4 linked regions of the Notamacropus eugenii genome follow. The protein of the gene in region 1 purifies or fractionates together with the protein of each later gene. This does not show direct contact. Links are inferred from orthologs where the notes say so. Each region holds a gene or a part of one and is shown on either strand. Other genes may lie near its edges.

The links.
Region 2: the proteins of PRPF4 (region 1) and SNU13 purify together in Homo sapiens (affinity purification with mass spectrometry; 4 studies listed by BioGRID and IntAct, counting the BioPlex papers as one, with this or other methods). This does not show direct contact. The link is inferred for Notamacropus eugenii from reciprocal best matches to the Homo sapiens genes PRPF4 and SNU13.
Region 3: the proteins of PRPF4 (region 1) and DDX23 purify together in Homo sapiens (affinity purification with mass spectrometry; 4 studies listed by BioGRID and IntAct, counting the BioPlex papers as one, with this or other methods). This does not show direct contact. The link is inferred for Notamacropus eugenii from reciprocal best matches to the Homo sapiens genes PRPF4 and DDX23.
Region 4: the proteins of PRPF4 (region 1) and TUT1 purify together in Homo sapiens (co-immunoprecipitation; 3 studies listed by BioGRID and IntAct, counting the BioPlex papers as one, with this or other methods). This does not show direct contact. The link is inferred for Notamacropus eugenii from reciprocal best matches to the Homo sapiens genes PRPF4 and TUT1.

The regions. Positions count from the first base shown.
Region 1 is NC_092872.1:478,474,877-478,482,416, reverse strand, and holds the start of PRPF4 (U4/U6 small nuclear ribonucleoprotein Prp4), read left to right. Parts: upstream 1-4,271; 5' UTR 4,272-4,370; coding exon 4,371-4,397; intron 4,398-5,778; coding exon 5,779-5,962; intron 5,963-7,540. Other genes in the region: anaphase-promoting complex subunit CDC26, read right to left, coding at 2,422-2,502. UniProt on the Homo sapiens protein: Plays a role in pre-mRNA splicing as component of the U4/U6-U5 tri-snRNP complex that is involved in spliceosome assembly, and as component of the precatalytic spliceosome (spliceosome B complex).
Region 2 is NC_092874.1:300,682,100-300,689,915, forward strand, and holds the start of SNU13 (NHP2-like protein 1), read right to left. Parts: upstream 3,428-7,816; 5' UTR 3,186-3,427; coding exon 3,183-3,185; intron 1,054-3,182; coding exon 933-1,053; intron 1-932.
Region 3 is NC_092874.1:220,629,450-220,637,642, forward strand, and holds the start of DDX23 (probable ATP-dependent RNA helicase DDX23), read right to left. Parts: upstream 3,307-8,193; 5' UTR 2,719-3,306; intron 483-2,718; exon of another isoform or gene 369-482; intron 1-368. UniProt on the Homo sapiens protein: Involved in pre-mRNA splicing and its phosphorylated form (by SRPK2) is required for spliceosomal B complex formation.
Region 4 is NC_092873.1:15,714,986-15,722,780, forward strand, and holds the start of TUT1 (speckle targeted PIP5K1A-regulated poly(A) polymerase), read right to left. Parts: upstream 3,413-7,795; 5' UTR 3,371-3,412; coding exon 3,289-3,370; intron 2,731-3,288; coding exon 2,653-2,730; intron 672-2,652; coding exon 481-671; intron 304-480; coding exon 1-303. Other genes in the region: metastasis-associated protein MTA2, read right to left, coding at 5,377-5,542, 5,684-5,820, 6,260-6,378, 6,464-6,553, 6,667-6,895, 7,106-7,245, 7,352-7,449, 7,636-7,694. UniProt on the Homo sapiens protein: Poly(A) polymerase that creates the 3'-poly(A) tail of specific pre-mRNAs. Localizes to nuclear speckles together with PIP5K1A and mediates polyadenylation of a select set of mRNAs, such as HMOX1.

The sequences.
Region 1 (7,540 bases):
CGAAGTTCATTATGCTGGCTAAGATTCATTACCATCAAAGCTTCCAACTGCCCCGAGGCTTATCCTCAGAAAAGAACTTGGAGGCTGAGTAGAGATGGGTTGGGGGGAGGGTTGGACTCCACAAGTAATTTCATTAGTATACAAAGCTCCCAATGAGGAAACCAAAAGAGGGTAGAGAGGTTCAGAATCTTGGCTCCTAGGTTCTGAGAAACCTGGCTTCCTGGTCTGTTCAGGCACCAGAAAAGTCTGTTTTTGAAGAAAAGTCTTCAAAAGCTCTGTTCTTTCTGGCCCCAAATCCATCATTCTCCTCCACAAAGTGCGTTTGGACTCACGATTCCTACAAGTCCAGAAGCTTTCCTCTGCCCTCTGCCCAAAGTTTGTGAGCCACTCCTGGTTCTTCAATCTGATGCTTGTGGCTCTCCTGTGAACTCCCAAACTGTAGTCTCTGGTCCACCTAAGTTCTCTGGCTTTCCTCAGGACCCATGGAGTCTGCAACCTTTCTTTATACCCAATACGCACAGTCAGCAACAGGTAGATCAGGTGCATCCCCAGTAGGGCTCATAATGAAAGCCCTTAATGTAACTGAGGTATCAAGGATGATGACACATCATAGGCCCAGGTTACACTCCTTGTGCATTTTTTTAAAAGTTAAAAAATTATGATGTTGAAAGCAAGCTATAGTTTTTAGGAGGAAATGAAAGCCAGTTCATAAAACATTTTAATAATAGCTATAATTAATATAACTTAATATAAATAAATATAATTTTAATAATAGATGTTCAAACTTTTTTGTTGCTCAGTCTTGTTTAGTTTTGTTGTCATTTTCAGTTGTGTCCAACTCTTCATGACCCATTTAGGGTTTTGGTTTTTTTTTAAAGAGCTTAATAGATGTTTATTGACTTGATAACTACTAGAAGACTCAGAAATATACTTTCTTTCATGTAGTACAGCACTCACATAACAATGTACATCAAAGGTTAACCAGTGGCAATGATATTGAGCACAGCTGAAAGGAACTTGGTTCAAATGCAAATTAGATCATCAAGGGCAAAGTTCAAATACTCTCAAATGTAATCCAAACTGAACCTATGTATAAATCAGGCAGGCTTTACTGATTTGAAATAAATCAAGGTCTTTATCTGACCAGAATCCCCAGCCTTTTAAAATCCAAGACCTACAATTTTTCAGCTCCAGAGGGGGCTGCCTGTTTAAAAAATAAACAAATATATTTTTATTTTTTATTATTATTTTATTTGTTTTCAGTGTTCTACAATCACTTCCAATGTATCTTAGATTTTTTCCCCTCCCTCCTCCCTTACCCTCTACCACCCCTCTCCCTCCCTGAGATGGCATACAGTTTTATATAGGTTCTACACATACATTCCTATTAAATACATTTTCACCTTACTCATGTTGCATAGAAGAATTAAAATGAATGGGAGGAATCATAAAACAAACCAAAACGTAATACAAAAGAAAATGATCTGCTACATTCTGCAATCGAATTCCATAGTTCTTTCTCTGGATGTGGAAGGCATTTTGCCTTAAGAGACCACTGGGAATTTTTTAAATCCTTGCATTGCAATGAAGTACTAAGTCTACCAGAAAAAATCCTCATAGACTGTGGTTGTTGCTGTGTACAGAGTTCTCCTGGTTCTGCTCCTTTCACTCAGCATCAGATCATATAAGTCTTTCCAGGCCTCTCTGAAGTCTTCCTGTTCATCATTTCTTATAGCGCAATAGTATTCCATTACATTCATATGCCACAATTTATTCAGCCATTCCCCAATTGACGGGCCTCCCCTTGATTTCCAGTTTTTGGCCACCACAAAGAGGGCTGCTATAAATATTTTTGTACATGTGGGACCCTTTCCCATTTTTATGATCTCTTGGGGATACTGGAGTGGTTTGCATTTTCCTTCTCCAGCTCATTTTACAGATGAAGAAACTGAGTAAAAGGGTTAAATAACTTGCCCAGAGTCAAGCGAGTATCTGAGGCTGCATTTGCACTCAAGTCTTTCTGATTCCAAGCCCTGCCCTCTATTCCCTGCAATATCTAGCAGCCCATTTAACTTTTAAAATACATTTTTAAAAAACCCATTCATATTCACTATCATATGCAAGATGAAGTGGTTAAAAGTTCACAATGTATGGCTTGCCTTGCTTGCTCCCTAATATAAAAAGACTGAGTTTAATTGAAATTTAAACATGCATAGTTCCATATGAAAATGCTTATTTTGATATGAAGTGACCTTCAAATCAAGGTTCTTCTAAGTAATGATGTGTACACATCTACACTAAAAACTCAATCTTCAACGTTCCTCTCCCAAATGAAATAGGTTTCTAGACAGAATACTTTAGACTAAGATAACACATCCTAAAATACCCACTCCATAAAATAACAGACGTGACCACACTCACCTCCAGATCCTTCCGGATACTCTCGAATTCCTCAATGTCATCTAGCTTCAACTCCAGGCGAGTGGGTTTTCGTCGGAGCATCCTGGTAACAGTTCAACACGTCCAAGCCAAATCCACCAAACTGTCAAAATTTAGGGAGAAGGAAGAGGCTCTACAAGAAGCATACTCTGGTGGGGATGGATTTTCTGCAAGCAAACAACGATACCCTAAACGTACACACAACCTCCTGAGCTGTCAGGAAGCCTCAATGACTCTGATTTCACAGCCATTCAAAAATAGCTGCCTGTGAAACACATAGAAACCAAAAGATGTACAATCCACTTTAATCCAGTAGTACTTCAGCCACATTCAGAGAAATGTACAAGTTTATACAGACAGTTAAAAATAACTTTCCTTAATTCAAAATGAATTACCATTTACAAAATGGATAGTGACAATCACTTTAATACCCTTTGCCTGGGTTTTTAGGGATTTGTGACCACTGGCAAAAGTCAAGTTAAGATTTCATTTTCAAATGAATCACACAGTGGTTGACTTCCTAATTCTAAGGAAAAGTCTCTTTGATTCATAACTATATAATGACTTGATGCAAACTTTTTCAAGGAACAAAAAACAGAAATAAACAATTGCGCAGATTTATGCTAAAATGTTTACAGAGGATTACGCTTTGTAACCATTAAAATGATTACAGAGGAAATCAATAATGCTAGGGTCATTTTTTTTAGCACCATTTAATGATCTGAATTTTAATAAACCTTTTTTTTTTTGGCTTTTCATAGACTTAAAAAGTTTTACTGGTGTTTTTCATGTTGTTATTTCTGAATATCCTTTTCCCCTCCCCTGTAACAGATTCCTATTTAGCAGTGTTAACCTCCCCAACTATTAGCATTGATTTAACATCCCTCTCTTCGGTAATGAAGAACAATGGACCGGAGTCCCTCAATGAGTATGCATGCCAGCATATGCTTTCCCACCGTATTTTAGGATTCTGGGCATACCCACCACACTCTCCAGACCCACTTCAATCCTGGAACCAAGATGAACGGCAGGGGATCTGAGATGGACGGAGCACTAGGTTCAGCGCATCAACCGAATATAAATACAGTAGGCAATTTCTGAGTGGTTCTTATTCCCCATCATCTATATCTAGGTATTTCCCCTACCTCCTTAACGTGGGGTGGGGAAGGGGAGGGGATGGAGGATGCCACCCTGCCTTGAACCTGGTCTACTCCGTGGCCCTTAGTTTCGCCATCTGTAAAACGAGAGTTGACCCATTTCCCCTCTAAGGTCAGTGGAATCAGACTGTGAAGGGAGAGGGAGGTTGTGGTTGAGGCTGGAGCCGTCGTTTCCATGACTACAGAGAGGCAGGCCAGCGGACCGAGCAGCAGGGAAGCCGAAGCCTGCCCGCCGGCGGCCAGCTCCTTCCTCCCGGCTCACGTCCCCTTCCCTTTCCGCCCGCCTCGCCCCAGGAACTAGGTCCTCAGCTCGAAGCAGCCCTCATGGCCCAACACCCACCTCCCCCCAGCGCGGCGCGGCTCAGCTCAGCTTGGTTTAGCCCAGTCCCGGGGCGAAACCGACTTCTCGGACCCCTACCGCCTCCAGCCTGTTCCACTCCGCCTTTCCAGCCACCTACCAATCTTCTGTAGGCTTGACCGCAAGGACTGCATCTCCCGACATGCCGCGTGGCCCCTTCCTTATCCGTCGCTGCTGACTACCTCTCCCAGAGTGCTCCGCGCTTCATTCCCTCAGGTTGCAACAGAAGCCCCTAGACGAAGACTACAATCCCCGGCCTGCTCCGCGCCTCCCCGGGCTTCCGGACTCCGTTTAGTTCCGGTTATGTTCTATTTCCGACACGTTTCGAAATTTCCGGTCCCCTGAGCGTGGAGTGAGTCCTCCGGCGGTGGGGGTCAGCGGCCGTGGTGGTCTGCGATTGAAATTCTTACCACAACATGGCTTCTTCTCGAGCTTCGGCTACGGTGCGGCTCTGGCCTTGGTGTTTAGGGATCCTTGGGAGTTCTCCCCACGTGTAGGGGAGCCGGAATTGGCTTCTGCCCTTCCACTGAACCCGCGCTCAGGGAGATGATGGGTGGGTTGGTGCAGAGGCAGGGGGATGGACTCGCCGAGTTCCTGACTCCTGACTCTGCCGCCCCTCCGAAGGGAACTGGCCTCCCCTCCCACCCCGACGGAACTGGGGCCACAGCTGGGGTTTGAAGTCAACGCGGCGGCGGGGGGGGGGGGGGGGGGGGGGAGGGGGGGAGTTGGAGTTCTAAAAGAGACAGTGTGGTAATAAAAAGTTGCCCTGGACTCAAGGTGGGAGATCGGACTTCCCAGCTCTACACGAATTTGGTTAAGCCTGTTAATTCCTGGCCCCAGTTTCCTTCTGTAAAGAGAGAAATCTAGATGAGATGCTAACTTAGACTTTTTCAGCATCGTGTTCTGTCATTGGGTTTTAGTCCTAGCTTTGTCCAGATCCCAGACAGATCGCTGAACCCTAGTTTGTCATCTCCAAAAGGAGAGTTACAAGGAAGCAGTTGTTAGTTCAGGATTGGGGAGGGACTTAACAAAGTTGTGGAAAAGGCTTCTGTGACAGATGGTGACTTCACCTTCACTTGGAAGTGTTTGAGCACAATTTGAATGACTGCTGGTCAGGGATGTTACAGAGGAGATTTCCTGTATCTGCAAAAGGGATGGACTAGATGATGTAGACTCTAAAACTCCAAAATTGTATTTAAAAAGGTGATAATCCCTGATCTTTTCCCTTCGTAGGATTTTTGGGAAGATGAAATAAGATTATGCATGTATAAATGCATTGAAATCTAGAAAGTTCTATAGAGATTGTAGTGTACTTCAGAGTTGAAAAAACATAGACCCCAATTTAGAATTTTCTTTGGTTTAACCAGAGGTAAATTTTCTCATTATGTTTCCCTTTAAATTCACTGCTTAAATTTATTTCAGGTCCTTTATTATCTAAATGACTCTAAAAGGACATTGAATGGATAGCAAGCTCAGTATGCTATTGATAACGTAAATGAACACTCATTTCTCCAAGATAGATTGCACCTGTCCCCAGAGGTCTTACATCTTAATAAGCAGTATCAAAGTAACCTATTGATTGGGAAATCACTCAGAAAAAGATGGAGTTCATTAGTTTCATCCCACACGTTTCTTGTCCCGAACATGCTCTCATGTGAGGGATGCACTAAAACAATTACTACCTTATCTGAGTGGGGAAAGTTCCAACTGGTGCTGTGCTTATTTCTGCAGATCCAGGAATAGCATTTGGTTTCAGAATTAACACTTCAGGCAGTTCCGAAGGTTGCTCCAACTCTAGGTTAACTCTACTTTTTGATTTTATAGGCAACCAAAACCCCCAGTAGGACTCCTGAAGACACTGCCTCCCCTGTGGTGAAGAAGCCTCATATCTATTATGGCAGTTTGGAAGAGAAGGAGAAGGAACGTATTGCAAGAGGGGAGTCAGGGATGTTGGGGAAAGAAGGAATTAAAGCTGGAATTGAGGCTGGAAATATTAATATAACTTCTGGTAAGACTAGTTTTGGACTAATCTTTTGTGTTGCCTGTTCTGCCTGGTCTTAAGTACGGGTTTTCTAGGTTTGAATATTTTCTCCTTTTACTTTGGGCCTTGATTAAAATAAGTTTTGCATTATCAACTATAGTCTCTCCTTGAACTTCTCTTTATGGAAGCGTGATTTATAAATGGTATCTCTGAGACTAAGTTTTACTTTGCCTGCCTCATATCCATGGGCCTTTACATTCTTGGGGATTAATAGTCTAATTTGTATTACATTAGTCTGTCATATGGTTGTAAATTCTACTAGATTTTAAATTCCTTGAAGGTACTAAACCAATCCTTACAATGTGTCAGGTACTGTGCCACACACTAAACATGTGAGTGCAAAGAATGTAGCATTCCCTACAGTTAGGCAACAAATACAAGCCTTAATGGCTGTATGTTTGTATATATACACATATACGTATACATGTATTTATATATTTCATAAATTTAAAGTGAATAAATACAAATATATACAAAGAAGTTAAAAACAAACTTGCTGAACAGATTGTTTTGGCCTTGTATTTACCATAGTGCCTAATGTAGTATGCACTTAAAAGTAGTCATTCTTCTCATCTTGTGTCTTCTCAGACACCTTTTTCTTCCCCACATCTTTTTGGTAGGACTGTTCCTATGAATTATGAGTATTTGTACTAGAAAGTCACTCAGAGTAAGTTCATAGAATCATATTCTGCTTCTTCAAAGAACAAGTTTAACATGGTCCTGATATTACTGTTTTGAGCCATTGTGGTCATGTTTATTTCTTTTGCTTTTTTTCTTTTCCAAAGTTTTTATTTGATCGTTTCCCTATACTACATCTGAACAGCTAAGCCACTGCAGCTTAGCCAAGACTCCCTAGTATTGATTCTAGTTTTAAAAACAGTTTTTTTTTAACCTGATCCTGTCTGTAAACTTGTTTTTTGCTTTTTTAAAAGTTAAAACTTTTAAAATGCACTAAGAGTTTTGGGACAATCCTTTATTTTGTTGTTCAGTCATTTCAGTTGTATCTGAGTCTTCATGACCCCATTTGGGGTTTTTTTGGGCAAAGACACTTCCTTCCCCAACTCATTTTACAATTCAGGTAACTGAGACAAACAGGGTTAAGTGACTTGCCCAAGGTCACACAGCTAATAAGTATCTGGGGCTGGGTTTGAACTCAGGTCTTCCTGACTCTAGGCCCAGCATCTATCTGCTTAGCCACCTAGCTGCCCCAGTCTGTGTCTAGATCACTGTAGTTTGTTGTAGTTGATTTCTGTTGTATATTTCATTTTGTGTATTTAAAAACCTTCTGATAAGGGGTCCATAGGTTTCCCCAGACTGCCAAAGAGTTTCCATGATATCTTGTCCTAGCTTATTTAAATGAGTCCAAGGAGATATTGAATTGATAGCAAGTTTAATTTGTTACTTGTGATATAAATGAACACTCTGTCTGGAACCCTAAGAGAGATTGTACCTGTCACAATTCTACTGTCAATTCCTGTAGAACTGTGAATTGCATTCTCATGGGAGTTTATCAGTCATGTTTTAGTGCCCGTATATCAGCATTTG
Region 2 (7,816 bases), on another chromosome or scaffold:
GGATGAGCTGGCTGGACCAAGCCCCTTCCAATCACGGGGGCTCCCTGTTTCAAGTGCAGCCTTCCTACTTACTGGGATAAAGGGGCTGCTTGGTCCAGCTGGGTTTCTGAATCCCAGGTCCACAAACTTGAATGAGGAAAAGAAAGACACTTTCATTTTCACTAACCTCTCTCCATGAAGTCTAGCATTTTCTCCAGATGTTTAAAAACACTATTCTGAGAAGGACTGGCCCATCAGCTTCATCAGGTCCCCAAAAGGGCCCGCGATACAAAAAAGGGGAAGGCCCCAATGAGGTCATTTTATAGAAAAAGGAAGGGCCAATGACCCAGAGACTTGGCTATGGAAGCCAGAGCTGAATGGGGGGCCAGCAACTGAGGCCCAATCTCTGCCTCCCATCACCAGCAGGCTGACTTAACCTCTCTGGGCCTTCGTTGCATCATCTATAAAAAATGGGAGGCTTGGACCCGCTCTATGACCCTCTGATATGGGAGAGGTCACACAGAATAGTCAAAGGAAGAGCCAAGCTGGGCTCTGAACCCTGAACTTCAGACCTCTTCCCTCTCTTAAGGACTAAATTAGGAAATGGGTGAGAAATGCCCTACCCAATCACTCACTCCTTCAGGCCTACGAGAAGCACTCCAAGACTTGTCAGCGGAATCAGAAACAACACTGGAGTAATTAGTTCGCCCCTACCATACCCTAAAGTTCCTGAAGGCCTGTCCCCTGATGGGCAGAGCTCTGGGTGTCAACCCACTCCTCAGAACAGGAGCTTCTTGAGGGCAGGGGCGGCCTTGCTTTGCATCCCCAGAGCTCTGCCCAGATGCTCATTCCTTCATCGTGCTTTCCCTCACCTCCAGTCTCAGCCCGATCCCTCCCCTGCCCCACCCCCACCAAGCAGGAAGGCCAGTGGCATATGCCAGCCAGCTCCTCACCTTCATTGGCGCCCTTTCGGAGCTGCTTGTAGTTACAGGATTGCTGTACCAGGTCCAGAAGCTTTTTGGTGAGCTGGGCATCAGCCAACGGGTAAGCTTTTGGGTTTACTTCAGCCTCAGTCTAGGAAAGGGGAGGAGAATTGGGGGTCAAGGCTTCATTAGCAGCAATTTACAGTTCAAGGGCCAGGGAAGCATCTAGTGAGGAAGCAAGGTAGGACCTTCTGGGTATACCCTGTGCCCAGGTGATTCCCTCCCCCTGCCCATCAGGGTTCCTGATGGTATAATCAGAGCAGCTGGCATTTCTAGAGGGCTTTTAGGTTGGCAAAGCATTCTCCTCCTGCCATGCCAGCTCTGGTCCCTGGAGGACAGTCTCTCAGCTCCCTTATGGCACCTCCTCCAAGAAGCCCAGCCTGATTGGCCAGGTGCTAAGCACATCTACTGTGTTGACTTTGTGTTTCCAATAGGTAAAGAGCTAGCCCCTTTGGTGCAGGGACCAATTCCCTCTTCCATTCCAGTCCCCAGCCTAGGACAAGGATGCTACTAATCAGTGGGAGAAGTGCTTACTCAGCAATTGGAATCAACAGCATTTCCCAAACGCCACTTGGGAAGGCAGAGAGCTAAGACCTTCTCCAAGACTATTCCCCACCCCCTAGGGGGAGACAGGCCCCAGTGGGGCAGTCTGAAGAACAGCACAACAGAATGAAGCAAATCCTGAATGCCCAAGGGTCAAAGGGTGCCCTGTCCTGGTGGGGAAAGCCCTAGACTCTGGAAGAGGATGGAGCTCAGTGCCAGCTCTCCATCCAGCTGGAGCAGCCTAAGTCCCAAAGAATCATCATTCATGGGTGACAGCATTGAATGCTTCACCCAGAATACCACCAGCTGTAGGGGCCAAGATCTGGGATCAGAATGCCTTTCCACCTTCTCTCAAGAGTGACTAACTCCTGCTTCCTGGGGCCCAAGGAGGCCCTCAAACCTTAGTCCAGAACCTTCCTTAATAAGGACCCCCAATCGACAAGAAAGCAAAGACAAAACCTTAAACTGCCATCCTTGAGAAGACGTGGTTTACAGATGAGGAAACTGAGGCTGGGGGGATGAGGGAAGCCAGGGCTGTGACCCAATTCCTCCTAGATTTGGGAGTCAGAAATGCCCTTGGCAATGATCTAGTCCAACACCTTCGTTCTGTCTAGGAAAGTCATCAAGCGTGCTCAGCTTCAGAGCCATGCTGTCCATTCCAGGACCCCTTCTCCAGCCCTTTGGACCAGTTCCACTTTCCCCTCCCAGTCGGCCTCCTCCCTGCTCCCACAGCTTGGCCAGTCAGGGGTCCAGGCAGCTCCAACAGCTCCTCTCCTTCCATCGCTCCGGGATGTGCCCCGTAGGGCACAGGTTCCCTCCCTGCTCGGACATCCTCAGGGGCTCCCTACTGCTCCTGCCCCGGCTGACCCTCGGAGCCCGCCACAACCCTCCGGGTCCTCAGCCTCCTAGGCACCGGCTCCGGACAGGGAGGGTGCCCTGGGCAAACCACGGAGGCTCTCCACGCAAGGACAAGCGTCCGCCCGTGGGCGCTGACCTGCCCAGGGCTCCACGAGCCTCGGCCGCGTTCAGGCTCCTCGCACGATGGATCCGCGGGGGTCCCCGGTCCTGCCACGTGCCTCCCTCGGGCCCAGGGCTGCCCCCCAGGGCCGCCAGGGACGCCGGGCTCTCGGCTGCTCGTGGCGGACCAGCGGGGCCGCACTACTTATTTACTATCACTTCCGGACTCGGACCGTGGTGCCCCACGCCCGGGCCCTCTCCTTTCACCCCGCCGCTGCCTACGGACCTCAAGCCGACACTGCGGGGGGCGGCCGCCTCCGGCCACGCTTCGCCACGTGCTCGGGGTAAACTGAGACCACTGGAAGCCGCCTCCTCCGCCCCGGCCGGCTCTTCCCGCCTCGCTCCCACGTGGACTCGCCGAGGCTCGGCCTCTGCTCCCCAGGGCCGCCACCGCGCCCCGACTCCACGAGGCGTCTCCTCCGGGCGGGCGCGGCGGAGAGCGGAGCACGGAACGCAGAGTCTCCACTCTCACAGCCTCCGCCCCACCCCCACAAGGCCGGGAGCCCGGCAGAGGATACAATGTTTCCACTTCCCCAGCCTCGAGCTCGCAGCCGCCCCGCCTCCGACAGCGGCCGCCGGAAAGGCTTCCACTTCCAGGGCTCCGCCCGGGCCCCGCAGCGCCTCCCGCGCCCCCCAGCCCCTCGGGCCCGGATCACTCACCATCCTGGCGATCCTGCAGTCGGAAGAGCGCTGGGATCGCGGGAGCAGGACGAGTCCTCTCGGCCCGAAAGCTTCACGGAGGATGCCTGGAGTGGAAAAGGCCCCGCTGGGGGCCGGGGGAGGAGGCTGCTGGGAAAGGGGGCGGAGCCACGCCCGGAACCCTTGGGCCCGCCCCTCCCTCCGCCCCTCCCTCCGCCCCTGCCGCCGGACGTCTCCGTGCGCTGCCTGGGGACTCGGCTCCTTAACCTTGGGAGAAATCTCCGGGTCGTGGTACTACGGGTGCGTCTCTCGGCGGTGCGATCGCTCCAGCCTGGAGCCGGCGCTCTGGGCCTCGGGGCGGCACCTGCTTTCCGCAGAGACCCCCGGGCTGCAGGATCAAAGTCGGAAAGGATCGTCGAGGTCCCTAGGCCAGGGGGTCTTAACCGGGGGCCGGGAACACGCACACACACCGCACACACACGCAGACACACGCACACACACACACATACGCAGACGCACACACGCACACACACACCACACACATCACACACACTGCACACATCACACACACCCCACACACATCACCCCCCCACACACACACATACGCAGACACACACATACGCAGACACACACATACGCAGACGCACACACACACCACACACATCACACACACCCCACACACATCACCCCCCCCCCACACACACACACCACACACACACATACGCAGGCACACACGCACACACACCCCACACACATCACACACATCACACACACCCCACACACATCACACACCACACACACATCACACACACCACACACACCACACATACATCACACACGCACACACCCACCACACACATCACACACACCCCACACACACATCACACACCACACACACATCACCCCCCACACACACACACACCACACACACACATACGCAGGCACACACGCACACACACCCCACACACATCACACACATCACACACACCCCACACACATCACACACCACACACACACACACATCACACACCACACATACATCACACACGCACACACCCACCACACACATCACACACACCCCACACACATCACCCCCCACACACACACACACCACACACACACATACGCAGGCACACACGCACACACACACCACACACATCACACACATCACACACCACACACACACACACATCACACCCCACACACACATCACACACCACACATCACACACACCACACACACACACTTTAACAACTTTCCATGCAGCAGCAGCCTCCTTGCGGTTCCTTTAACAAGACCCCCATTTCCCCCCTCCATGCTTTTCCACTCGCTGTCCCCAGTGCCTCAGCAGTATTTCCCTGCTTCCAAGTCTGGGCTTCCAGGCTTCCCCATGCCTTCAGGTCAGCTAAATTTCACCTCCTGCAAGGTTTGCTCGACTCCCCTTAAAGGTCATGCCTCCCTCTGGGGATGAAGTCCGATTTAACCAGTGGGAATCTTGTTTGGGTACGTGTTCCAATAGTCTTAGTGTGGCTTTAAATTGTAATCGTTTTACTGCCCTTAAGATTTTGGCCCCCCCCACACACACAGTTGCTGACACATTCCCCCCACCGTTTACCCTTTAGACTGTAAGACCCTTGAGGGCAGGGGTCACAATTATTTGTCCTTTTGTATATCTCCATGCATAACCCCCAGTCCCTGACACTGTATATTTTATAGTAGACACTATAAAAATGCTTCTTGACTTGAATATAATTATTTTCCTTCCTTATTTTAAGTATTTTATTGTATGCACGTAAGAACATGATTCTGAGAGTGGTTCATAGGTTTCACCAGAATGCCTAAGGAGTTCTGTCTTTGCAGTCATGTCTGACTCTTCCTGACCCCGTTGGGGGTTTCTTGGCACAGATACTGGAGTGATTTGCCACTTCCTTCTCCAGCTCATTTTACAGAGGAGGAAACAGAGGCGTTTGAGATGATCTGCCCAGGGTCACACAGCTAGGAAGTGTCTGAGTCTTCCTGACTCCAGGCTTGGTGCTCTATCCCCTGGGCCACTCAGCTGTCCCTAACTTTCAAGAAGGCCACGACACAGAAAAGGCTAAGAACTCCTGAAGGAGTCAGACTCCCTCAGTGTACAGATAGGGAAGCCAAGGCTCAGAGAGGTGGAGGGGAGGGACTGCCTAGGATTTCACAGACTAATAATAGCAGAACCAAAAGAACACCATAAATGGCAGCTCCACCTGGTGACTCTAAATGGAGAATGTGGCCTGTTTTATCAGAATGGACACTAGCTACTGGAGCCAAACTCTTAAGTCTTTGTCACAAGAGAGAGTTCAGTTTCAAGGAACACTCAGAGGGGAGGCCAGGGTTAGATACTGAAATGACTAACTTTAAAAACCAAAGGCATCACTAAACCCCTTTAGGTTTTGTTTTTTAAAAAGAAAACTGGTGGAGGTTTGAGACAGATGCTTCCTCACCAGCCACCATAGCTGCCCTCCTGCCCCACTGGGTTCTGAGACTTTGCCACTTCTAGTGGCTTCTCTTGAGGCTGTTTTTCAGCTCCTTCAGCCTTTGCCCCAAAGCCTGGCCCAGGGCCCTCTGCAACCAGCAAGCTCTCAATGAATACCAGTGGAATAGAATGGAACCCTGCCTACCTAAAAGTTGTGTGACCTTGGACAGATCACCTGGCCTCTCCAGGCCTCAGTTTTCTCCTCTGTAAAAAGGGAGTTGAAAGCGATGTCTTTTTCTCTGCATACCCAGAATCTAGCACCTAGTATAGATGTCCTTTGTGCACCAGGCAAATGCCTGGAATCTCCAGCGTTTTGGCACTTAGTTTTGTCACTTAGTACTTAATAAATGCTCACTGACTGATTGGTTCATTCATTCATAGGGTCTTAGATTTAGAGTTTGAACTGAAGACATCAATCCATCAAGTATCTGCCAGGCAGCACAGGGCCAAGTGCTGGGATACAAGTGGCCAGGCATTTCTTATGCAGATGACTCTGACTGAGCTTCCTTTGGTGATGCAGAAAGAGCCCACTGGCTCATGAGTTTTGGAGAAGAAAGCCAGTCCTTCTCAGAGAATCATGCGAGACCCATCCTCTTTGGGATGAATCACAGACACATGGGGAAAGAAAGGCAGACTTGCACGTATTTTCAAACTTTTTCAACTGATAATCATTTCAGATCATTTGGCCCCATAAGGGCCAAAGCCTGAACTAATCAAATAGACGTGCTTTGCTTTGCTCTAAAAATGCCCTTTCCTGCGTCAGCAACTTTAGGACCAGATAAGGCTGACAAGGAGCATTCTTCCTGTTTGTGACCATTAAGGACAGGATGCCAGCAACCAGAATAGCAAGGCTTCTATTATCTTGGTATCCAAGGGAAACACATATCCTGGGATTGTAATTGACACTACTTTGTCAATTGTCAATTTGTATTTATGACTTATTCAACTAAGAAACTTCCTTTCTCATGGTATGGTTACATGTATGGAGACCATACATCCAAGGGACATAGACATCTTGAGATTGCGATTGTTCTTAAGGCTGGTCATTCGTTTATCAGTCAGTCAGAATTCACATTCTGGCTCCTCATACATACATGTTCGCTAGCTTTGGCTAGCTTTAAGGGAATAAACAATATGAATTTATATGCCACCTAGTCTGTTTGCCTCCTTTAACCAAACTTTCAAGTTGACACAATATACCATCAGTTGTGGTAATAATTTTTCCTCTAAAAATACTATTTGTTATGTGGCATGGCTCTGTGGGAGAGATCTGTCGGATAACTATGATGATGTGAGAAGACACCAGTAAACACTTAGAAAAAACAAAAGAAAGAAAGAAAGAAAAAAGACTTTGGAAGTGAAAGACACTTGGGGAAGCTGGTTTCTCAGCATGCCCCTTGCCCTAGTGAGAGGCCTTCAGGGAGTTCTAGCCTCAGAGAGATCAGGGCCTTTGTCCTGGCAGAGCCAGACCTCATCTCACTCATCTCACTCCCATCTAAAGAGCTCATTCCCTCGTGCATTTTCTGTTATATTCGAAGCTATGTAACTTCTCTGATTTACACTTGCGATGGTCTTTTGGGTAACACCATGTGGTAGGGAGGCAAGGAAGCTAAGGACATGCTAGTCCAAGGAAATGACTTTTTTGTTCTGAACCTAAAAACTGTGCCCCTTGACCAGCAGAGTTTAGAGGGGCAAATTGATAAGGTTCTTCTGGTCCAATGCCCTCTCAGAGCCTGCAGAACAGTGGCCAGCTTCAGAGCCCTTCTGCTCCCCTCAGGGCAGGAGTCCTAGTCTGCCTTGGAGAGCAGTGGGCAAGATCCCAGACATTCAACTCCTTCCACAAGCAACATCTCCAAAGCCTAGGAGCCATATACATCTTGCCCAGGCAACAAAAAGCACAGACCAAATAAATCTGTTGTTGGCTCATCTTTCAGTCATGTCTGACTCTTCCTGACCCCACTGGGATTTTCTTGGCAGAGATACTAGAGTGGTTTGCCGTCTCCTTCTCCAGCTCATTTTACAGGTAAGGAAACTGAGACAAACAGGGTGAAGTGACTTGCCCAGGGCCACCCAGCTAGGAAGGGTCTGAGGTCAGACGAGTCAAGTCAAGTCAAGTCTTCCTGACTCCAGGCCTAGTGCTCTATCCACT
Region 3 (8,193 bases), on another chromosome or scaffold:
CAAATTTCTCTATTTAGTTTTTAAAGTCTTTCACAACACTGTCCCAAACTGTTTCCTGCCTCACTATATATTATGTCCCCACTCTTGCACTGTGACAGCCAGCCAAATTGGCTTTCCGTTTTATAAATATGATATTCCGCCTTCTATCTCCAAGTTTTTGTGCTGGTTGTCCCTGGAATGCCTTCTCCTTATGTTCACTTTATGCTTCTTCAAGAGAGTAAAGAGAATCCCTCTTCCTTGGGAAAATTCTGAAGATTATTTAGCAAGATAAGATGCTAGACAACAAGGTTCTTTCTCAGGCTGAACTGCCAAGCACTCCAACTCTGTATACCCGAATACCAAACATACATTCACCTAAAAGAACTCACACAGAGGTCAGAAGAAGCAGTACCAGGACACTCGCTGGGTCTCTCTGAAAAACTTTAGCGTCAACTGTGGGACATGGGAGATGGTGGCATCTCACCAGAATCAGACACCGTGCTCTAGGAGCAAAGCAGAATCACAGCAGCACGAAGGACACACAAGATGCACAAGCTGAGAGGTTTCTCCATCCCAGATGTTCAAATGGAGTATTTGTGCCTGACCTGTGGTAAAGCCTTCCAAGACTGTCAGTCAAACACGCTGCACCTTGACCCCAACATCATGAAGTCATTGGTCCCCTTTGAGTATGAAGGATGAAGAACAATTCAAACAGCTTTTCCATGAAGTCTTTCCTGATCCCAACTGCTAGTATCTTCCCTCCCAAAATATCTTGTATTGAACTACTTTGTATTTATTCTCTTTTGCAAAGTCTTATAATATATGTACCTACTGTCTCTCCTGATAGAACTTCCTTGCAAGTGGAGATTGTTTAACTCTTTGTATTTGTATTTCTAAGGCCCACAACAGGTCCTGGTATATAATAGGTGCTTGATACACACTTAATGACTGATATTAGCTAACGATTGTACAAAACTGTCACAATAAACAAAACATTTTTTTAAAAACCCTTAAATTTTATTGCCATAAATGGTAGGTTTGCCACCTAAAAAAATCTCTGTTTGCATACTTAAAAACACAAAACAAAATTTTCCAACCCATTTAAAAATCTTCCAAGTAATGAGTTGTGGGTTTTAACTACATTTGTTAAAAATACAAACATGGAGTAAGAGAAAATGAGGAGCTGATAATAACTCCTGATTAGTTTGCAAGAATGAACACTATAAAGGAAGGTGAAAACCTATTAACCAAATTTCAACAAAAATGACTGCATGAGAGGTGGAAGGGACTGAAAAATGTGCATCATGACTCCGCCTAAGCATGGCAATGACACACTCGTTCCATGTGGGTCCCTGGATCTTATGCATCTTCTTTTCCAGCTGTGACAGTCATTGAAACCAAATACCAAAATACACTAAACTTAGAACCAAATTCTCTACCAAAAATCAGTGTGAAACCAAGATTTTTAAAAACAATGAGGAACATCACAATTTGGTCACTAAAAATGTCACTTAAAAGGCTTCTCTGTATCATTAATAAAGTTTATGTCATCCTTTAAGAATTTCTACTTCTGTGCTTGTTTTTATACATAGGTATACATGTATACACATAAGATACATGTAATACTGATGTCACAAGATGTACATAATGACAGCAATAATTTATTTACAATATACATTAACAATTCACAAATTACAAATACAGAATAGGCTAGGCACTGGACCTGTGATTTCATTTTACAATAAATATGCATACACTGGAGGTATGTTTCAGAGTCATCTACTGATGAGAGTGTGAAATGAAGAAAAATTTGGAGATCATAGCAAGTCTTCTATCTCCACCATTCATCCTTCACGTTGCTCCCAAACTAACTTTCCTCCTTACGTCATTCCTCTGGCCAAAACCTTTCACAGGTTCTCTATGCAACCTACCCAATAACGTTCAGACTCTGTGATCCAGTATTTAACACTGTCTTCAGCCTTTCTAGGATTCTGTCAAACTGGACGAGCCCTTATGAAGACTTTTTTTTTGGCTAGTGTCAATGCTTTTGCATTAAGTGGATATTTTCCTTATATCTTTTATTTTAAATTTCCCCTCCATCCTTCCACCTCCTCCACCTTCCCAGAGAGCCGTCCCTTATAACAATCTAGCCATACTTCCTGAAGTTGGAAAAGTAAAACGTGTCTTCCTTAAGTCTTCCCAGAGGTGACAGGGAAATGTCTTTTGCACACCTGGGCTCGGGATGGGTCACTGGCGCTAGGGGCTACTGTCCCCATTAGGCTACGACCCCACGAGCAGGGCGGTCTACCGTGCCGAGCAGAGTGCCCGGGCTCAGCACACAGGGGTGGGGTGGTGTAAATGCCAGCCGGCTCTAGGGCTGGGCGCAGGGCCCGGCCCGGCCCGGCTTGGGGTGCGAGATCAGTGTCCCAGCGGCTGGCCTGGGGGGCTCCGGAAGAGCCCCTTCCAAGCGGTTCCCGGTCCTGCGGAGCCCAGCACGCGTCAGGCACTGAAGCGGCCCCCCGCGTCTGCCGCCCGTCGGAAGCAGCTCCCCGAGGCTGCAGGCAGCTACTAACATTATCACCTCGGAAAGGTCCCAGGGATGCACCCCGTCCCCGCCCTCCGGGGCTTCCTGTATCCCCAGGGTGCCTTCGCGAGCCCCGCTCCCACTCCTGATTCCCCAGGGATTGGGGGCCTCGGAGCCCCCATCTGGTCCTCGTTCCCAGAGAACCCGAGACTCACCACACCGGAGCTGAACCGCTCAACGCGGCCTCAACGTCGCAGAGAGACCGCCATTTTTCCCGGTTCCTAATCACCCAGACGGCACCTGGGGCCGCGCGCCAAGCTGGGAAAGCGAGTCCCCGGCCTCTTGGGCCTGGGCTAATCACACGTACCAGAAAACTACAGTTCCCAACGTGCACAGCGCTGGCGATTGGGTTGAGGGGGAGGAGCCGCTGGGCAATGTAGTTCTCCCAGGGCGCCTCCTAGAGGGTGTTGTGGTGTCTTGGATACCCTAAGATAATGTTCACAGGTCTTGCTCTGGGGTTCTACAATTGCAGAATTTAGAGCCAAAAGAGATCTTAGACGGCGTGATGCCCAACTCCTTTTTAAAGATGAAGGAAATGAAGCCATTTTATTTGTCTGGACAGGCAAAGCTGCCATGCCACCTGTTAGCAAAGCCCCAAAACATTTTTTGTGGAAGAATCATTGTTTTTTGGCGAGGAGGTGGTGGAGGTAATCAGCATTCGTTAAGCGCTGGGCGCTGTGCGAAACCCGCCCCGTACCTTCAGTTCTGCCCGAGTACTGCGCTGTCTCTGAACCTTTCCTCGTGTCGTGCGCCTGAGCGCATGCGCAGGCACATCATCTCTTTGGATAGTTCTCCCCCCAGAAGTGTGTGCGTGCCTGTATATGTGTTATATGTGTATGCATGTGTAATACACCTGTATGTGTTATGTGTGCGTGTGTATATTTGTATGTATGTGTGTGCACAGTGTACACCTGTATATGTGTTACATATGTATGCATGCGTGTGAACATTTGTACACATATATGTGTTATGTATGCATGTGTATGTATACATATGCAACACATACATGTGTACACATGTGCACGCACACATATACACGTATGTGTTGTGTATGTGTGTGCACATGTGTACATATGTATATGTTATGTGTGCTGCGTGTGTATATATGTGGGTGCACATGTGTACACCTGTATGTGTGTTGTGTTTGCATGTGTATATGTGTGTGCACACTTGTACATCTGTATGCATGTTATGTATGCATGTGTATATATATGTGGGTGCACATGTGTACACCTATATATGTGTGTTATGTATGCATGTGTATATATGTTTGCGTGTATGCACATGTGTACGCACGTGTGTGTTATGCATGCATATATGTGCACATGTGGACACCCGTATATGTGTGTGCATGTGTATACATATGTGGGTGCACATGTGTACACCTGTATGCATGTTGTGTGTATGTATGTATCAGAGTTGGCTGGCTTGCTTTTTTGTATGGCCCCAAAGGGGTGTGGGCTGATCCTCTCAGCTCCTGGGCCTTCATTCCACCTGAAAAACTGATCAGGATGCTGGACAAAAAGGAAGGGGGGGAAAGGCTGAGAGAAAGGTTTAATTAGTCTACCTTAATCTTATAGAATTGGAATTATGAACCCCTAAGGCCACGGACTAAGGGAAACTGAAGAAGAACAATTGGAGAAGATACAATTTGGGGCAAAGGAAATTAAATGAAAGGAATGGGGTTCTGGGAGACCAAGATAAAGGGGTATAAAAGACCCTTATATATAATACACACAATTATATCTTATTTAATAATATAGCATATGTATATATAAATAACCCTATAATTTCATTGATACCTCAAAGGGTAAGAACAAAGGTGGTCAGACTGCGCCAGTGTACATTTTCCAAGGCCCAGATATTGAGACTGCTCTTTGATGTGTCTGGTGTCTCTGCTGTTGACTGTAGTTTCCACTGTCTCACTTTGCTTTGCACTCAGCTTTCATTCTGGTGTAGGGTGCTACTATGCAGGGATTCTCTGCTCCTTGTTTTGGGTTCACTCATATACTTCAGAGCTCCTTGCAGGTTTGCTACTGGGCACAGACCCTTCTCCTACACCCACATGCTACCACTCTAAGACAATTTGCTTGGAGAAAGATCCCCTCTTGTACTCTAAAAGGACAAAGGAAAGACCAACTTTTCTCACAGCTGTTTTGATTCACTCCTGAGCTTCTATTAAATTAAATTAAAGCTCTCTACAAGCATTATCTCATGTGACACTTGGGATAGCCCTTCGAGGTAGATACTATTACTATTGCTTCTGCTTTAGTACTGAAGAAATAGTCTTTAAAGAGGGCAAGTTTTAATTAACTTGCCTTTTGAGATTGTTCTGTGGTGTGAGCACCAGGTATTATCTTTATGATTTTAGGCTACAGCTGAAGAAGGTTTTTTACTTTAGGGTATTTGGTATCCTTTTGACATTTTAATTGACTGGGATAGTGAAAAAAAGATAAAGTAGATGCCTAAAAGATAAAGTAAAATCTATTATTATAACTGACTAAAGCCTATTCAGATGTCCTGAGAAAAGAGAAATGAGTTTTCAAGCATCCGGTTTCCTAAGACCTTTCTGAAATTTGTTAAATAAATTTGTCACTTGGTTAGGAATCTATTTTCTTTTTATCTGAGAGATGCTATTGTAAAATTTCTTCAGTGGATTCCTGTAAAACTATAGTAGAGCATTCCCAAAGGAGGTCTAAACTGGTCCTAAACTGGACAGTAGCCTGGCTTAAAAAGAAATCAATCTTATTTCCCTTCCTCTCCCCCCCCCCAAAAAAAAGGAAATCAAACTCAAAAAAGTTCCACAGTTGGATGGGGCTTCATAAAAAGGATTCAGCACTTGTTGCTTATTACCTGGGATTTTTAGACCATCAGGTCAATCTTATCCTAAGAAACTGCAGTTCATACGGATCTCAAAGTATCCAGACTTAGACCACAACAGGGCAGGCTGTCCAGATCTCCTTAAAATTTTATTAAATACTAAATGGCGAGTCCCATAGGGCTAGGTGTATTTCTAGGCACTGGTATTCTAGGAGTGCGACATCCATACTTCACACATCGGCTTCTGTACACGTAATAAACACAATAATAAGGCAGATTTCAGTATATAAGAATGAATAAATGAAAAGACATAAATGCATACTATGTGCCAAGCAGTGCTGAAGACACAAATACAAAAAGAAAGACAGGAATTTTCTTCTAATAGACAAGACAGAACATATGAGTGGTGATAAAAGAGGAATATGTTGATTTGGAAAGCAAGATGGGTGAGCAGAGCCCTATGGAAATAGATTTGGCACACTTTTACCAGGAGTAATGACAGAGTTGATTTGAATATGGTTCCAGAATTGGAAAGGTGGAGAGGGACAAAGGGTATGTGCATGGCACCATGTCAATTGGTAAAGACATGGCCATGGGGTGAAATAAAACTTGACTGGAGCTAGGCCTAGGTGCATCAAGCAACTGAGGTGACCACAGGATTGGAATTTTTGAGGATGAAAGTACTGTGGGACTCAATTTAAATTTTCTCAAAGCAACTGGTCTGGCTTGTAAAGGAAAGACATAAAAAACTGACTAATTAAAGCTGAAAAAAAAACCACCCAAAAGAAAAATACTGATTCTTTCTCAGTGAATTTCTGTAATCTTATAACTGTAGCCTCTAAGAGGAGATTTTAAGACTTCCCAGCAGGCTCCTGCAAATGCAAACCCAAGATAAGTAGTCTCAGATGATTCCACAAAGTGTAATATACCCCCCAGGCCCTGGCTGCCCTCTTCCTCCCAGTTCAACCTGCAGGTTGAATTCTTCAGAGTTAGGAAGAAAAGCACTTGGAGTTAGAAAATTCTTAGAAACACTAAATCATGTACTTGTGTGACTATTAAGAAACAGGCTTTGAATTACAGAGACTGGACATTATGGAAGTCTATGAGCACTGTCTCATCACAGGAGCGTGGGAGAGGGGCAACTAATGCCTCCAGTACTACAGTGTTTGAAATGCCCCCACTAACCTGTGTGCTGCTTCATTGCCTTCCTGTAGCTATCCAGTTTCAAACTTGGCTGAAATTCTGACCTAGGGCACTGCTATTCACTTTTGGAAAATTAGAGCCTATAATTTATGACTAGCACAGGTCTTATGCTTTGAGATCTTTTGTCTCCTGAGCACCAGGATCCAGGATCTAGGGCCTAGACTCTCAACTGCTCTAGCTGCTCTGCTCATGTCCCCAGGTGGACTTCTGTTTGCCCTCTGCTGGTAGTGGGGTCTCCTATGGTTATGTGTTTTTGCTACAAGACAATATTTACAATAGAGAAGAGGAATTTCCTTCTCTCCTTTTGTTGCACCCAGGAGAAGATACAAAGAAAATGATGAAGAGTGAACTTTTTTTTTTCAGAGCTCACTGTCTCAGCTCACCCCAGAGCTGGCTAGCTTCCTTATTTTTGGCTATGGAACTGTGAATTTTATTATATGCAATTTGGTTTTTTAAAGTGTATATTAAGTTTAACACAATAGTAACAAAATAACTATATCTTTACCTTATGAACTTCCTTGTGTTACCTTTTGTATATTTTTTAATGTTTCATTAATTCTTGTTTCTTTTCCTTAATTTTTTTCTGCATCACTATCACCACCTACCCCTTCTCCCCAAAGAGAAGCCTTCCCTTGTGAAACATGGGTATAAATCAAGGAAAACAAATTCACATGTCTAGAACGTTACATCTCATTCAGTCCATTGACTCTTTGTCCAGTGGTGGGAAGTGTCATTATTAGTCTTCTAAAACCATAGTTGGTCACTCAAAACTGTTTTTCTTGACATTTCCATTCTATCTTAGAGGCAGCTGGTGGCTCAGTGGATAGAGTTGGGCCTGGTGTTCGAATCTGGCCTTGGATACTTCCTAGCTGTATGACTCTGGGAAAGTCACTAACGCCTCTGTTTGCCTCAGTTTTCTCAACGGCAAAATGGGAATGATAAGAGCACCTGCCTGACAGGGCTGTTGTGAGGTCAAATGAAGTAATGCTTGTAAAGCACTCAGCCCAGTGCCTAGCACATGGTAGGTGCCACATCAGAGCTTATTCACTTTATATTTACTGCAGTCTTTGTATAAATTGTTCTCCTTGTCCTGCTCATTTCACTTTGCATCAGCTCACGTGAGTCTTCCCAAGTTTCTCTGAATCAGTTCCTCTCAGTTCTTACAACATAATTATATTCCATTATGTCACTTTCTACCATAGAAAAGACAAGCTATTTTGAAATATCTAAGAACTCCCTGTGAAATGGTCCAAACATTCTGGACAACAAATTCTGGTCAACAGTCAAGAACTATGCCCAAAGGGCTATAAAATTGTGCTTGACCCAGGAATACCACCAACTGGGTCTATATCCCCAAGAGATCAAAGAAATGGGAAAAGGACCTATTTGTAAAAAAAAAAAATTATAGCTCTTTTTGTAGGGGCAAAAAATTGAACATTTTGGGGAATTCCCATCAATTGAGGAGTGGCTGAATAAGTTGTGGTATATGATTGTGCCATAAGAACTGACAAGTGGGATGGTTTCAGGAAAACTTGAGAAGTCTTCTATGAATGATGCAGAGTGAAGTAAGCAGAACCAGGAGAATATTCTACACAGGGAGAGCAGTA
Region 4 (7,795 bases), on another chromosome or scaffold:
AGAGAAGACCTCCTGCAGCAAGGTCACGACAAGCCCCCGAAGCTGGCGTTCTGCCTCAGAAAGCTCTCGAAGGCCCACCAGCTGCACCATCTGGGCCTCCACATCTGGAGCCTGTGCCAAAGCCTGCGTCAGCTGCTGGTCATCTGGCGGTGCCCCTCTGGACGATTTGGGAGCGGGGGTCTGGAATTCCTTCTGCTGCCGAGGCCGTACACGTAGCCGATGGCCACCGAGGGTGTGCTGAGGCTGGGACAAGACAGCATTCCGGGTGCCCAGGTCTCCCATTTCAACAATGGCAAACACTCCCTGTTAGGCCGCAGCAGAGAAAAGCTCTCAGACACTCCTCTCCAATCACCATGGCCCAACCCCAAGCCCCACCATCTCCTATCTCCTCCAGCCTGTCCCTAGAGTCTCCCTGACCTGGATCTTACTCCCTCCTCCATCAGATTGCTCACAAGGGCTTGCCCAGGCTGGCCCCACTACCTTGTCCTTGTCCATGACAATGCTGGCCACAGGTCCAAAGGCCTGGAAGTACTCAGAGAGCTGGGCTGGATCTACACCACGTGGAAAACCACTGACAAACACGCTCCGCAGGCCCTGGGCCCGGCGTGCAGCTCGAAGCTCTTCAAGGCGGCGATGCTTCTTGCCTGCAAGGTGGGCATCCAGGCTGGGCCCTGAAATACACACATTAAGCACGTGCTGCTTCCAAGGATGCAGCAACAAAGTACTGACTGTTTTAATCTACATGGGGGAAAGAGCCAAACCAAACGCTTCAGGCAAACCACAGTTCGAGCTGGGTGGAGCTTCAAGAGGCCATGGAGGCCCCTCAACATAGAGTTGAGGAAACTGAAGCCCAGAGAACCTAAGTGACTTGCAATGGGTCACACAGAAAGGAAACATGAGGATCCCCTTTGAACCCAGGTCTTCTCCCTCCAACTAGGGTATCACCTGGGGAGATCATTCCTGGGCTGACCCTAAAAGGCACAGACAGAATCATGGAGTCTGGGGAGGTCAAGAGGAAAGCACGGTGGGAGCCAGAAGGGGGTTAGACAGGGGCCAGATGAGGGATGCCATGCTATGACAGGCAAAGGAAGCCAGGTTTGGTTTTATAGGCAACAAAAACTCACAGAAGGGCTTTGGGCCCCGGCATGATTCTGGCGGTGTGAGGGGTGAGGGAAGGATGGGAGAGTGTGATGGAGGATGGAAGATGGAGGGCAGAGGAGGGAGGGAAGAGACTGGGGGCAGAGACACCAGTCAGGAGGAGATAACAAGAGTCTGGGTTGGGGGGAGGGCGACATGGGCCTGACTTTGGGAGGCAAGAGAAGGGACACAGAATTGACATGACTGGAATGCGAGGTGAGAGCCCAGGAGGAGGACAGCAGAAATGAGATTGGGAGATGAGGCCAGTCAGGTCAGGAGACTGATGCGCTTGGCTCAGAACATGCTGGGATTGAACAGAAGAGATCCAGGGAAAGGGTCCAGGAGGCAGGGGGAAGACACAGGAGGAGCAGGAAGAGATGTGGAATGATCTGCATAGAGATGGCTACAGAAGAGAGTCCCTAAGAAGAGTGTGTATGGAGAAGGGAAGGGAGTGGGCCCTCAGGACACCTGTGCCAAGGTCCCAGGCTGAAAAGTTAGAGAAAACAATGATTCACAAGGAGCAACAGCACCACAGAAATACCTCAGGGGAGATGTCAGTAGAGTGCAGCAAAAAAAGAATCTCCATGATAATGGTCCTGGACGAGATTCTGGGATACTGGGATACAAAGCCCTTAGAAATGTCCACAAGGACAAGGACTGAGAAAAGGCTATCGAGGACCCTGGGGAGAGCAAGCTCATGGAGCAGTGACATGAGGTGTGGAGGGGGAGGCCAGGGTGCCACAGACAAGTAAAGTCTTCAGGAGAGACAGAAGGGGAGACAAAGAGACAGGAGGCCAAGGGCTCTGACAAGGAGAAGTCACAGCTCTAGAGGCCAGAGAAAAGAAGATGAAGAGGACGACATAGAAAAGTCTGGAGGTAGAGAGCAGGAGACAGACCAGCTCAATCAGGGATAAGGGCAGGAATTGGACAAGGAGGTTTAGAAAACCCATTGGAGGGCATGAAAGAGTCCATCAAAGATCAACCGAAAGGACTGTCCTGCAGCAGGGAGTGTCCACTTGAGATAAGATCACTTGAATGTGTAGAATGTTCAGCTGAGCTGATTCTGGGGTTTCTTTGAGTGGCTTAGAAACAAAAGCAGAGCAGGCCTACAACGGGAAGGGAGGGAAGGCTGAGGATGGGCAGAGAATGACCAGGATAAAAGGGCATGCTCTTCAAGAGTGGAAGACAGTGGTTTTTAAATTAAATTTTATTTTGACTCATTTTCTCTTTCTGCCCTCCCCCATTGAGAAAACAAGAACAGTAAAATCTCTGTTATGAATAAATATGGTCAAGCAATACACCTTCAGTGTGGGTTATGTCCACAAATGCAGATGTTTGGGTAGATACAAAAGTATCTGGGCAGAGATACAAAGTTACACCCTGGAATGTTCTCTGCCCCCAGTCCTTTCTCTCTCTACCAGAGGTGGGCCACAGGCTTCATTCCAAACTCTGGGATGGCAGGGAGGTAGAGGTTCCATTGAACTGCCCACCCTGGCAGGTCTATAAAGCTTGTACCAGGGACGTGGCCTTGGAAGATGTTGGCCCTTGGTCTCCTCGATGCCGGCAGTGGGGAGGCAGGTGACCTGGGCAGCACTGGAGATGCCCCAAGAGCCGCGTCATGAGAGTGGCCACAGAACTCCTAGACCCTGGATGGCCCTGGGTGCTTGGATGCTGAGGCCAAGCAGACCCAGGCCTTCCTCGTGCCTGGGTTTGTGCCTCTGAAGGGAGGGGAGCTCGCCTGGATGCTTGTAAGGAAGACCGAGGAGGGCCCGAATTCAAATTCAGCCTCGAACACTTGGGTGACCCTGAACAAACCTTTTCGCCGCTGTCTGCCTCTGTTCCCTCCCACCCCACGCCCCCCAGCTGGGCTTCTGCCTTCGCCCTGACTTTTGACCCCGTGAGACACTGTTGCCCAGCGGCCAGAGCTCCGAACTTGGAGCCCGTTAGGTAGACAAGAGTTCGAATCCCATCTCTGGTTCAGGTAACTTCCCCGGGCCCTCGGTTTCCGCACTGGAGTAAACGGCCAAAGGCCGCGGAACCGCAGCTACGGGACCAAGAGAGCTCCCCCACTCCCCTCGGGGCAGGGGGCCCAGCCCCGTCCGCCTAGGCCTGGGGGCTCCGTGACCCATGACCGCCAACCCGCCCCCTTACGATTAGCTGTGTTCACGTGGCAGAGGCAGCATCTGAAGCCCCCGCGCGGCAAAGCCTCCACATCCGGCTCCGTCGCCGCCATATTTCCCGCTTCAGAACGGGCCAGGCACGACTTCCGCCACTACCGGAAGTGGGTCACCGGGATCGCTCAATAAGAAGGCACTTCCGCCACTCTCGGGGATCTGGGGCTCGTTCGGTCGCGTCTCAGGACTCAGGCTGCGCACTCGGTCTGCAGCCCCATCCTCCCGGGTTAATCTGCATACGGTGACGCGATTGGCCAGCTCTGAGAGCGCCTGTCGTCGATTGGCCCTGAGCGAACATGAATATTCATGAGCAACGGTGGAGCGGCCGGGTCTCCAGCAGCTAGGGGATCCCAGCTCCGCCTCTCCGCCGGCAGAGACGACCCCAGCGGCCACCGACTAGGCCCCGCCGCAGTCTCCGGGCAGCCGGGCCGAGAGAGGGGTGCTAGAGTGCCCCCGGCTGTCTCTTCCTCCGTCTCGGGCACGGGCGATAGAGCCGAACCCCACGCAAGACGACGGACCCCCGAGGGCCCGTGACTCCTCGGTGGGTAGGAGTGACTCGCGTGGGCGTGACCCTGGCCCGGCTGGTCTGTGCCCTAGCCACAGCGGACCGCCCAGCCCTGAGGGGCCCTGTCCCCGGCGGCCCTCCAGCACTCCTGCCCCGAGGGATCCTGGTGGGCTGAGGCGCTGCAGCCTGGGGGGTCGCCCTGCAGTTGTCACCAGAATGTACTGAATCCGTGGCAACTTCCTGGCCTCAGTTCTTCACCTGAAAAATGGGTGCACTTGGACCGCCTCGGCCCAGGAAGTATACATGTGAGAAGTTAGGAGAGCCTTGGGAGGGATGAGGGGGGCCTGCCCTAACCCCTTCCATCGTAACTTCAGCCTCTGCCCTCAAGTGATTCCTGGCATCAGAGCCCAGGAGAGGGCGGTCAGATCCTACAGGCATAACACCTTCTAGGTGCCAGGTGCCGAAGACACAGGCAGTCCCGGTCCTCAGAGCTTGCATGGTGGGTGTGGGATGTGAATAGTCCCCATCTGTCCAGGCATCCCTCCTGTGACTCTGGGCCCCGGTCTCACTCTCCACTGACCCAGGGATTCTTCATCTCTTACCCCAAAGCAGTCGAGCATATCCTCCTAGCCTGCAGCGTCCTGCCTCACTAGCCTTAGCCCAAGGGCCAATCCCAGAACTTCCAAAAGACGGTGGTCAGGAGGGGACTCGCCAGCTCACCCAGGTTGCTTTGGCCAATTCCTAGAATCAACTCCTCTAGAACACCCCGTGACAGCTGTCCCCCAAAACAGATGGTATATCAAACAAAGAGGTGTCTACAATCAGACTGTACTAAGGGCTTCCACCAGGAAGTGACTGGGAAGCCTCTCCTGGGACTGATGGTCAATCTTGCTGTCCATTTTCCACCCTCCATCAGACCTCCCTTCTTCCCTAGACCCCATCCCATGTCAGAGAGCAGCAGAGCCAGGAGGAGCTGAAGAAAAACAGTTTTTTATTTTTATCGATCTAAGAACGGATTATAGATTCCAAGGTTAAAAAACAGACAAAGGGTCTTTATTTCTGAGAGTTGGTGTACAAAAGGCAGGGATGTGGGGGAAGGGAAGCAAGAGTGAGCACAAGGAGCTGGGATTGCCCGAGCTCACAGGCCTCTAACTCCAATTAAGTCTGGACATCGAATGGGAGTAAAACCCAAAATTAGAAAAAGAAAACAAGACTTGAGACATGGCAGTGCACGCCCCACCCCCACAGGTACCAACTGGTACCTTATTTTCCCCTCCCACACTCCCCAACAAGGGGAGGAAAAATTAAAAAAAACTTTAAAAAACCCTCCCCCCCAAAAAACCTGCCCCAGGACTGAGTCCTTTGTACCCCCAAAAACAGGCTATCCCATGTGGGGCTTTTCCTTCCCCCAGACCTGGAGAAGGCCAAGGAAGAGGCAGATGTGGTGTCAGAAGCTACAAGCAAGCTCTCCAATGCCCTCCCAGGACCCACACACACAGGTAAATGTGCCTGTCTAGAGGCCGCCTTCCCATCTACTCTCTTCCCTTCCCCCCAAAATGCTCAATCCTCCAAGACAATAGGCTCATTGGTACTGGCAGGGTGTGGGGGTAGAGGCGGAGGAATCGGGGCCCTGACTGATGGCAGTGGAGGCTTCACCTTCAATGGTAAATTGGGCCGCCTTGCAGCCCGACGCATTTCCAGGTGAGTCAAGGCCTTCCGTAATGCCCTAGCAGAGAAGACAGGGCAGATGCAATCAGTTGACAGCTGGGCCCTTCCTGGCTGCCCAGTCCCGTTATTCCTGCTTCCACACCCCCAGTCTCTGCTATCAGCCACCCCTGTGCCCAGCACTGTCTGGTCTGCCCACTACCTGGTGTCTTTTGTGGCCACAAATACCACAGGGTTGGGAGCATCCGCTGGGTTCAGCTTCTGCCGCTTGGCTGCTGGCTGTGTGCTTGATCGAATCCCTGAGGTGAGGGGCCTTCCATTGGCTGAAAATGGAACCACCTGGAAAAGAGGAAGGGAAGCTTTCAAGCCCTCAGCAGTGAAACCCCATCCCCCATCATTCTAGGAGCCCACCACCTCCAACTCCACTTCTGAACAAGCTGAAAGTAAGGAAGCATTGCCTCCCAATGGGCTAGAATCTTCATGGGTGAGAAAGAACAAGGGGATACGTAGGGTTCAAATCTAGCTTCACTTACTAGCTATGTGACCCTGTCTGCCTTAGTTTCCTCAGATGAGAGTAACAGCACTGTTCTCCCAGAGTTGTGAGGACCAGAAGACTTTAGAAGGCTATGTAAAAGCTGGCATGTGCACATGCAAAATGTATGTTTGAGCACATGTATGTATTTTCTGCCATTATCACTACTTCCAACCCCTCTGAGACCAAGCAGACCAAGGAAGGAAGACGAGTCCCCCAAATGTTCCCCCCTTTTCCCCAACTCACACTCTCATAGGCACGTTTCACCACAATGCCCCCCAAGCTGCGGTTCTGGGTCATTTGGTTCCTATTGATTGGTGTCTTTGTGCCTCGTGGGGTTTTTGGTTTCAGAGGAGCCTGGGCCGCTACAGAGGAAAGAGAAAGACCTTGCTGAAATCCTTTGTTCCAGATCCATTCCCAGCCCTTCTGTACCATCCCCCTGTCCCATACCGAGGTCTTTGACGATGGTCGCCAGGGGCAGTCGCACCAGAGGATGAATCTTGAGAGGCGTTTTGGCTGCCTTGGGGAGTCGGATGGAGCCTAGTGACAGCAAGAAAAGTTACCAAATCTGGGTGACCCAGCCCAGGCAGGGTCCATACACCTTGTGGACACTTCCCCCTTCTCTCCAACAAATCTCTCCTGCCCATTCTCACACTCAGCCTTGATGGCGTTGGCATTGATGGGGGCATAGGGTCGGCGGGCAGCTCTCCTCGGCTGTAGCAGGTCCCTGCACATACGCCGGGCAAGACGGGTCAGCTTTGTTGTCTGCAGTAGAAACGTCTGCCTATTCTTGGCCAGCAGCTTGGCCCGGTTGGCGCTAGTTGTATATGGAGAAAGGCTCTGGGCTTCAGGTCGAGACAAGTGACCCCGGGAGTGCGGCTCCTGGTGGAAAGAGGAAACAAAGTGGGGTCCTACTGCCCTCAAAATTCTGGATCTGAGCCACCCCAACCCCACCTTCAGGATCCACTGGCTCAGGGGAACAATCCAAAGCTGCCAGACTGTTTCCTTCCTGTTAGTCAGGGAGGAGAGGCAGCTTTCTCAAGCTCTCGATTTCTCGGGCCCTTCCCACAAGCCCCAACCCTGGGTCCTTACGGTGGTACCCCGTGCTGCCCCCTCCAGCTGCGTTGGGGTCTTCAGCCCCCCATACTTCTTCCAGTAGATCCAGCAGGAAGCGCAAAGTCGACACTGCATGTTGGGGGGTCCCCAGGCATACCACTGTGCTGACTGGGTGGCTAGAGAAACAAACAGGTCAGCAGGTGGAGTGGCAGTCAGAAGGGACAAGCCTGTCCCCCACCCTCAAGCACTGAGATAGGAGCTGAAGCAGGCCCCGACACTCACTGTGGCAGCTCTCACAGGTCAGCCCCTTCTGGAATCCAGCCCCATTCATGCCTGGCTTTGACCCCACAGAGATGATCTGGTTTGGATTCGGCTTAGTGCTGGGTGGGGGACAGAAAAAGATAGGACAGGATGGATGCACAGGCTGGTTCCAGTGGCAGCTTTCCACCCCATCCCAGCCCAGGGAGTCTCCCTGCCACTCTCCTCCCAGTCCCACCCATTCCAGATCACAGGGAAGGGAAGGAAGATGCCCTGGCTCCCCTCCGTACCCACCTACTCCCACTTACTAGGTAGGGATGTAGACCTGTTTCAGTTTACTGTCAGCTTCGGCTGCTTTTAATCTTTTCTGTAGGTGACACAAGAAACGGAAAAAGCAGTATGTGGGATGGTCCCTGGGCCTGGCTTCCCCCCATCCACCCAACAGCAGCTCTCTGCCTTTCCTCTATG